Arabidopsis thaliana: one gene and its partner. The protein of the gene in region 1 interacts with the protein of each later gene in a pairwise test. Each region holds a gene or a part of one and is shown on either strand. Other genes may lie near its edges.

Region 1 (4,794 bases):
CCTTTAACCCCAATGTCATTGATCCATCCACCGCCACAGGCTCTTCCCGAACGTGCAGACCACCTAATGATGTCCAAACAAGAGGTAAACCATTAATTTTACTTCTTTTCACTGTCTATTAGTTTTTTGTGTGGTTTAGAGTAAAAAAGTCATCATGTGTGTCACGTTTAAGTAGATGTGGGCAATCCGATTTTTGGTTCCCTTCATGTGTTCCGCAAAGTTCTGCTTAAGTGTAAAATCTAGAATTGCTGATATACGTTCTAATTGGTGAATTTGCAGAGGAGGATTTAAGATGTAAGGTGTAAGACGTTTGTAGCTGCCTAAAAACTGTAGGAGGAAGGCATTCCCTATAGTTGCAGATATATGTAAATATCCTCCAATTTTTAGTCTCATGGATGATCTTAGTTGTATATTACATATAGTAGTTGATCCCTTTTGAGAATGATGACAAAAATAGAGGCAAACAGAGTTAATAATAATTGCCTGAGGAATTTTGGTTTTTCTACTATCACTCAACGAAGCTTTTTTTTTTTTTTTTGTCCAGTGATGTGACATGTTTTACGTCCGAGATTTACGGGTTTAACTTCTGTGGAGTCTGTCTTCTTTTGATTGGGTTAAGAAACTTTGCTTCTAGAAGGTTAAACGTAAAAATTACAAAAATCTGGCCACACATTATGCAGCTGAAGATCGATCATTTACATTTACAAGGTAGTTGAAAGTAGAAAAAACAAAAAAAGTTCCTAACTTAGGATCTCAAATGTAAAACCTAACGTGGAGAGACATCTAAGGATCTGTAGCTTTCACAAATCTGCCCTTAACACGCAACCTGGTCTCGGCTCTCGCCTTCCTCGTTTCATATCTTATGGTCTTATCATATCTGCTGAAGCAATTACAAATTAGCGATTTCGAAAGACAATCAACTTACAAAAGGGAAACTAAAAGAAAAAATGGAGAACATCATTACCTCCGCGTTTTCTTCTTTTCCTTGTACCGCTGCATAGCATTATCTCTGTTCTGTGCCATCTGCTCTAGATCAGCATTCGTTACCGCCACCAATCTTGTGGCTCTATTACTAGTAATAGCAATATGTTCCGTGCAATGCAAGCCACAGGAGTCGTTAGAACTTTTATGCGAGTGAATGGCAGCAGGAATATTGTTGCTCTTAGATGTTTCCTGTCCCTTGGTAGAAGTTGAGTGGACGGAATCCTCCTGCTACATTCTACTTATAAGTATCACAGTTCACCGACAAAGATATACCAAAAATAGTAGTTTGACTTATCAATTATGATATAAATACATCAGGTTTCATTCATTCCAAGATGTTCTAACCAATAGAAATAAACCCATGAGATGTAGCTACTACCAGACCAGTATATCAGTCACCAACTTAAGCTATATATGAGGGAATATTCAAATGTTTAAGGTATGGAGTGTTTTGGGATTGAATTTAGGGATCGGGGGAGTTTATTGTCTATAGAACAAACTCTAATTACGTTCTGCAATGTGCGTTGTGTTTGTCAATTTGTGAGATAAATAAAATGGTTTACAATTCCAAACCTAATAACAATGTAATACCTGGTAACTCTCTTTGAAAGCATTCATATTGGTGGTTCGGGTATCGTTCTTGAGATGAGTAACGTTGTTGAATGTGAAAGTAGAGCCTTTAGTTTCGACTGGACTAGGTTCATCAGGGTTCCTCGACTGTCCCAAGTTAAAATCCCATATCTGCAACAACGTATATTCCACTGTGAACCCCAGGCCATAAAACAGAGTCTTATCTCTAATTAGGACAACCAAGAAAGAATAATCAACGTTCCGACAGGTAACTTAACAGATTTGGAGACCTAAAGATCCAACTGAAGTTACTGTAACATGTTCTAAGCACAAAAGCAAGAACACATGACCAAACTTAAAACCCTAAAATCAATTGCCAGAGAGAGATAGAGAAATGGACCTGAGTGTTCTGGCCAGTGCTATGATTAGTAGCATTCCATTGCATACCATTACCACAAAGACTTTGAGACATAAGCAAAGAAGTAAACGACGTCGTCGGAGATGGCTGAGAAATGCTTCCTCCGCCATTGATTCCCTCCGGAACCATAATCTCTCCTTCGCCTTCAACGAAGCCTCTCTTCAGTAACTCAAGCTGTTCAAACACTACCTGCTTAGACCTCCCAAAGCTAAAGCTTTGCTTTTTGCAAGACACATCATAAGGAACAATCAGTTCTTGAACGATGTTAGATCCAGAACCCCACGAATCCAACCCCATCCCAAAATTCTTAGTCAATTCGTCTTCGTCATCTTCTTTCTTCTTACCCTTTAAATCGATTCCCCACACAGCAGCAAGCTCCAAAACCGAAGGACAACCTGAAAACCCTTCCACGGCGGAGCGTTCATGCGTCGCGGAGGAGGAACAGCTTCCGTGAACATCCCAATCACACTCCTGACACAATACGAGATTATCTGTGAAGCAACGTACGGACACCGGCTCTTTGCTACAGTTATCACAGATCTGAGAACGAACATGCTTCCTCGAGAGAAGGTTCGCCGAGTGCACGTGCTGGTCACAAGGCAAACAAAGCTTCGCCGTATCGGCTCTACAAAACAGAACCGCCGTTCTCTCGCCGCAAAATTCACACGCCACCACACTCTCTGTAGTAGAAGTACCCATTTTGTGTTTAAGATGGTACCTTCACAATCCCTTAAAATCTCGCTGATTTTATACAGTGGAGAATAAGATCAAGATGACGAAAGGTGATGAAGTGATCGATGGAAGAAGAAGAAGATGACATAGACATAATCTCAAAGTCTCAAGCTTTCGGTTTTGCAGTGAAAGGAGAAGAAGAAGATGTCATTAATTGAAAATATCTAACTGTTGTACCGGAAATAAAGTTGCATTTACATAGGTAATTAATTACTTGAGAAATAATTGGCTGCATTACAGTGTATGGATTTAGGCACATTAATTGGCTGCCTTTCTTTCAGATCCACGCACAAGGATTTTAGCCCATGTTTCTGCTAAGCCCAATTCTAAGCCCATTATTTGGATGGGACGTTAGGATGTTAACGACATGATCGATAAGGAGAATATTTCACATGTACGAAGTTTACTAACTCGTAAATCGTTCCAGATGATCATTATTTGGCAATTTAGAAAACAAATAAGTCAATATATATATACTAGGAACATATCCTAAATCCAGCCATGAATTCACACCAAGTATCCAAATATCCAAAAATCTTGCAAGTTCTGTTGTAGCACATCTTGAAACATTGTGCAATGTCATTTTGAATGTCAATAACAACATTCTATTTTTGACATTGGTATCTTGGTAACGAGATTGCTTTCTTGGTCTCTTTTAGAAAGGTTATTATCTTTTAGTCGAATATCAATAACATATCTCTAAGAATTGTCCAAAACTCAAGATGTTTGTCCATAGGTTTGGAATATAGTAAACGTTGGAAATAAATTACTGATTTCCACTTTTCAATCGGATGAGGATGTGTTTTTTACCTTTTACATCCATCTTTGATTCATCTCTTAAAGCCATGTTTTCTCTCATTGATTCATCAAGCTCAGCGAACATAATTTTCCTCCCACACATGTGTCGCTTTCACCTATGTGACAAATCATTATTGGTTGTGTACTTGTGTTGTTATATGAATAGAAGATGAATGGTGTTACAATCATTGCCCATTATGTGGTGCGAGAAACAAAACATCCAACCTTTGCTATTTTCCTATGCCCTAAGGTTTTTTCACATGTTACTTAGCTATTATGTGTTTCAAACTCACTTGGAATGGATATTCTATATTCTTACTTTTACGAATTTTGATTCTTTATTATGTAGAAAACCTACAGAAAATCACGTTGTAAATTCGGTTTCGAAACCATAAAGGACTTCAATATTCAACTATTCTTTAACAAGTGAACTTTTATCATCTATATCACTTAAATCTTTATTCTCTATATCACTTGAATTCATAATAGAGAAACGAAAATTTAACTAAACACAACCTTTAAAGAACCCTTAAAAAGTAATTAAAAAAGAAGGAAAGTGAATTATACTAAACAAAAGATTATGTTAAAATTCGGATTCTTAAAAATCTTCTAGGGAAAAAAAAGCAAAATGGAATATGGATTCGATAAGGAAGGAAGGAGAGGAGACCCACACACAAGAACAGAGTGACAGACACAATTTGGCGTCTCTTTCGATCTGAAACATCTCTGTCTCTCCTCAGAGATTCCCTTCTTAGGTCCCATTGTCTCTCTTTCTGTATATTACAACTCTTGCAAACCTTTCTACCACCAAGATAAAATTATTATTTGGTAAAAAGCAATATCTTTAATTTTCTAGGAAAAAAGAAAGAAAGAACAACACTGGATTGAAGTGGTCGTCGCTTTCTCTTTCTACACTTCCAACAGATTCCCTTTTGCACTTCTCTCTTTCACTCTTTTCACTATTTTTGTTTTATCATTATTTTGTTTACGGAAACGTCATTTTCCTCCAGACAATACCTTTATTCCCTATATATATAATGGTATGGTGTAAAAATGTTATTGCCACTGTATATATTGGTCTATCACAATTCCTTCTCTTTATCTTCCTTTTTGTATTTTTGCAGCAACAACAAAAACGTAATTTATAGTTAGGTAGTTATCTTTCTTTGCATGTTTTGTGTATGTACGTAACTAAGAATGGTAAGTTTTTTTTGTTTTCCCTCGATTTTACCAGTTCAATAATAAACGTTATGCAATCTGAAGTTAATTATACATACATCTACCTAATATTC
Region 2 (4,445 bases), on another chromosome or scaffold:
CATATTTTCTTATTATATTAGTTATTTTATTTTTCAAAATTAATATATTAAATAAAAACGAAAACAAAAATTATTTGACTCTCAATTATATTATTATAAATTTAAACATCAAAAGTATTTATACTAATAAATACATCATAGCTTTTAATGTTTTTATCATTTTATTTTTTGTTTATACAGTATTTAGATTATTTTAGTGCGACTGATTGGTTTATTTTTAATGAAACATAATGTTTTTTCTTAATAAATAAAATATATAGGTCCCACAAAAAAAGCAGAGAAAACTCTCGAGTCGTATATCACAGTGAAATCTCCCTAGACTAATCATTTGTGATTTCTTTATCAAAAATTCCAAATTGATAGATATGATCAGATCCATTTGTTCACACAGTCCGTAAGTTGTAGGTGAGTGAAATAGCTCACATTCCATCCATGATTCAGTATCAGTTCAAAAGAAAAAGTTGTCTAGTTTTTCTTTGTTGATGTGAACAAAAAATAATAATTCTACGGTTTGTGATGTTACTAAAAATTTTCGAATTATATAATACAACATAACATTGGCTCCACATACAATTCTTTTCCTCTCGAGTTTATTTGAATTTAGTACACATGATTTAAAATCAGATAATGTCGTAAGAACAACTCACACCTAAATGCACATATCATTTAATCGTAATGTAGCGGTTTGTACCGTGCTTTGCCCAATGGTCCTTCAGATCGACCGGGTTTGAAAGATCATGATGCCCTTCTGCAGCAAGCCGGCTTAGAAGCTTGTTGAACGCGCTTCCGCTCATTTTCCGTCCACCAACTCGAGCATGCCTTTTGTTGGGCAGTGCAGGTAAAGGATACATTGATAGTGTAGTTGTGCAACACGATGATTGCCAACCTCCATTTCCCCATTTGTAGCACTGTCTGAGAACTCCTGTACATGAACATACAGGTGGTGGCATCGTTGTCTCGTCGTAAACCACTTGGTTCAGCCCCACCATTTCTTGACTTTTCCAGTCAGATTTTGATCCTATTAAGATATGCTTACTTGAATCTTCGTCTGTGTAGTCATGGGTCGTCTTTACAAACATTATCTTGTTTAAGTCGTCCTCGCTCTCTTTCTTAACCTTCCTCTGATTTTTTGGCCCTCTCTTATTAGCAGCAGTTTGTGTTGTCGCCTTTGGGTTCACTCTTTTACCACGTTTTGGTTTGGCAGATTCCAAGGTGGATCCGGCAGGTGGTGATGTTGGGAGACCATCATTTGGCTCCATCTCTCTGGTTTCATATGCATTTTCAGTCAACTGAGGTATGTGATGTTGTTGATGATGATGATGCATGTGCGGATGGTGCAAGTGTTTTACACCACGTGATATTTGACATCCTGGTGGACATGCTGACATATTGGCAGCAGGAGCAGTAACCATAGAGTTCTCACGGTATTGGAGTGCTGTAAGAGCACTGTCTCTCTCCATTATCGCATTGTTGCGCTCAGCAATGGCGGTGTCCCTCTGAAGAAACGCCATGTCCCTTTCAGCTACTGCTGCTTTTTTCTCTGATATCGCCAGATTTCTCTCCTGAATCGCTGCATCGCGCTCTGCTATTATCGACATCACTTGTTTCATCGACGGCTGATGCTGCATCAACCACTGTTTTACATCATGAACAAATCATACATTCCCATCAAAAACAGTCTCAAATCTGAGGTGTTTAGCCGCAAGCATGATGAACACCCATAAGATGTATATATAGAGCAGAGAAAGGAAAACAACTGATTTAGCTTTGGGATTGTCAAGGTACCTGGCCCTGAACTGCTGCTTTATGCCGACCATTCTCACGATGCCCACCATCATCCATTTGAGATATTAAAAGTCTTGACGGTACAGCTTCTACAATAACTGAACAAGCTAACGGAATATCAAAATAAAAGACTGGTCCATCTTTTAATCCTCCTGCACATAGCCAATCATTAAACAGTGTCAAAAAAGACCATTTCATAAATAAACTACTATGAAGCAAAATAGCCAATCACCAAAGCATTGCTAGTATTAGTGAACATACATAAACGACTATGAAGCAAAAAAAAAATCTATACTTGAGTTCCAGAATATGATTCAGCAGAGACAAAGCAAACAATTGTTTGTCCATCTATGAGTATTTTCTGAAAAACTTTCAACAAAAACACTCAAACTCAGATGACTAAAAATAGCAACATTAATATCGAAATGGTACCATTTTGTTTCAGGATTTGCACATCAATCAATCGATTCTAACCAATACACATAAACTCTGTGAGATATCAAACTCAGCTAAAAGAAACACAGTATCATCGATTATAGTCATAGTGATAATCATCAAAAGCTAATTTGGGAAAACACAAAACACAAAATCGCCTACTCATGATGATCAATAAGAACTCTAAAACCACAAAATCTGGTTCGATACACTATCCAAAAGAAAGAAACAATCCAAAAATTCTCCAACTCTAATGTCGATAGAAACAGGCAAAGCTCATCAAAATTAGGATTTAGCCATTTGGAATCAAATCGAGTAACTTAATTCAGCAATTAGGATTCAGCCAAGCCCTAATTACTTCAAACGAGCTTCGATTAATAGGAAATGAGCTTAGAAGCTTGGTAAGAACTTGGAGAAAAAAGTGAAATGAAAAGGGGCGGCGAAGAGAGAAAGAAGATGGTGGAAGAGTAAGCGAAGTTTACCGGGGGAAGTAGAGAGAGAACCCGCCGGAGAGATACAGAGAGACGACGACGGTGGTGGTGGTGGTGGTGATGACAAGCAGAGCAGAGAGATTGAAACCCTAATTGAACTGCGAGAGAATAAAGAAAAATATCTTTGTGGAAGAAACAGATCGGGGAAGAGGAAGATGGATTTCTTTCTTTCTAACTGTTTTTACGTTTGGTAAAAACAAATTTTTAAACTTTTAACTCTTTTTTCACCCATTTGGTAAGTGTTTTACTGTTGCACTGTTGTTGTTGAAAATTAGGTGACCAATTGGAAAAAAATAAAATAAAAAATGTCTATTAGTATTATTATGTAATTACCAGTTAGATTATTTTTATATAAAATTTAAAGTGTGGCTGGTGTGGTCATTACAGTTTATATATAATTTAACATTTTACGATCAATATTAATATGGCCTTTTTGAAACTTCAGTCTCGGTCGCCAAATATCAATAAAACGTTACCTTTCCTCAGAACAATCGACTCTATAATTAGATAGTAGCACATTTGTTATGAGATTTTATCACAAACAACATTTGATGCCCCAACGTACTTAACTTTGACGCCATGTGAACGTGGATTCCTGCAGCCTAAAACAGAGCACCTACTTGATCTGAATAATAGATTTGTTTTATTAATAGTAGCCTTAAGACATTGATACTTTTTAACTCGACAGAGGATTCTCGTCCCCATGCATTTCTCATTAGGCATGACCCAAGAGTTATTCTCACAACGAGAAAGCTCTCGTGCATTCCAAGTAAACTGAGAAGACGAAAGATGAATGTTATTCCAAACAATTGATATAATATATTTTAAGTTTAATTGAGTAACTAGCACAACTGTACTTCAAAATTATGCAACTACCAAAATTCTTGATCGTTGTTTTATTTTTTGAAAAAAAAAAATTATGCAACTACCAATTTTGTTTTATAACAAAATTCAAGGAGTTTCTAAAATAAGTTATATACTTTTTGCAAGAAAACTAAAGTCTTGTCATTGATCATTGTTTCAAATATCATGTATTGTTTTTAATCTATTTTATGATTTAACTCTAGCCCGTCGCACCTATGCCCTCCTCTTTTGGGACTCAGTGGATGATTAATTCAGTGTACAAAATATAAGATCATTAATTAGAGAACACTGGTATTGAGTTTGGAACCATATGTATATATTAATATATATCTTAGGTACATATATACAGATTGACAATCCTAAATTTAAACATCAATGTCTATGTACATCTTTGATCTTAATTTCAATTATATGCATCTACTATATATCTTTCTTTATATATTTATATGTAGTGTATCACAATGCAGAATCTTGTTTTATTCTTATTTGTTTTGTTTTTCTTTCGTCGTGCATCCTTATATATTTGCCAGTTTATATCATGATTCGTACAAGTGGAAATATCTAGTTGTTTATAAATCGAACCACCTAGTTTACTTCCACGTCAACGGACATGTTGTTGTCACCAATCGAGAAACGACATATTCAAATGTTTTATGAGCCAACAATTGCGTAACGATCATGTTTTGTGTATATATATAAATCACATTTTCACATTTCCATAGCTACAAACAACGAACATGGCTAAACGTTTTCTGCTTCTTCTTCCTCTTTTGTCATCTATTCTTCTTCTTGCCGTGTCCGTCACAGCTTACTCCACAACAACGCCGTATCAAGGCTACAAGCCGGAGAAATTCACCCACCTCCACTTCT

The links.
Region 2: the proteins of BBX12 (region 1) and BPC6 interact in binary tests that used the Arabidopsis thaliana proteins (3 or more experiments, as listed by UniProt).

The regions. Positions count from the first base shown.
Region 1 is NC_003071.7:14,187,376-14,192,169, forward strand, and holds BBX12 (B-box type zinc finger protein with CCT domain-containing protein), read right to left. Parts: upstream 2,880-4,794; 5' UTR 2,672-2,879; coding exon 1,955-2,671; intron 1,726-1,954; coding exon 1,576-1,725; intron 1,213-1,575; coding exon 965-1,212; intron 878-964; coding exon 784-877; 3' UTR 548-783; coding exon of another isoform or gene 545-547; 3' UTR 539-544; downstream 1-538. Other genes in the region: AT2G33490 (hydroxyproline-rich glycoprotein family protein), read left to right, coding at 1-84, 280-291.
Region 2 is NC_003076.8:16,998,684-17,003,128, reverse strand, and holds BPC6 (basic pentacysteine 6), read right to left. Parts: upstream 2,871-4,445; 5' UTR 2,703-2,870; intron 1,938-2,702; 5' UTR 1,843-1,937; coding exon 1,786-1,842; intron 1,635-1,785; coding exon 663-1,634; 3' UTR 522-662; downstream 1-521. Other genes in the region: AT5G42510 (Disease resistance-responsive (dirigent-like protein) family protein), read left to right, coding at 4,313-4,445. UniProt on the Arabidopsis thaliana protein: Transcriptional regulator that specifically binds to GA-rich elements (GAGA-repeats) present in regulatory sequences of genes involved in developmental processes.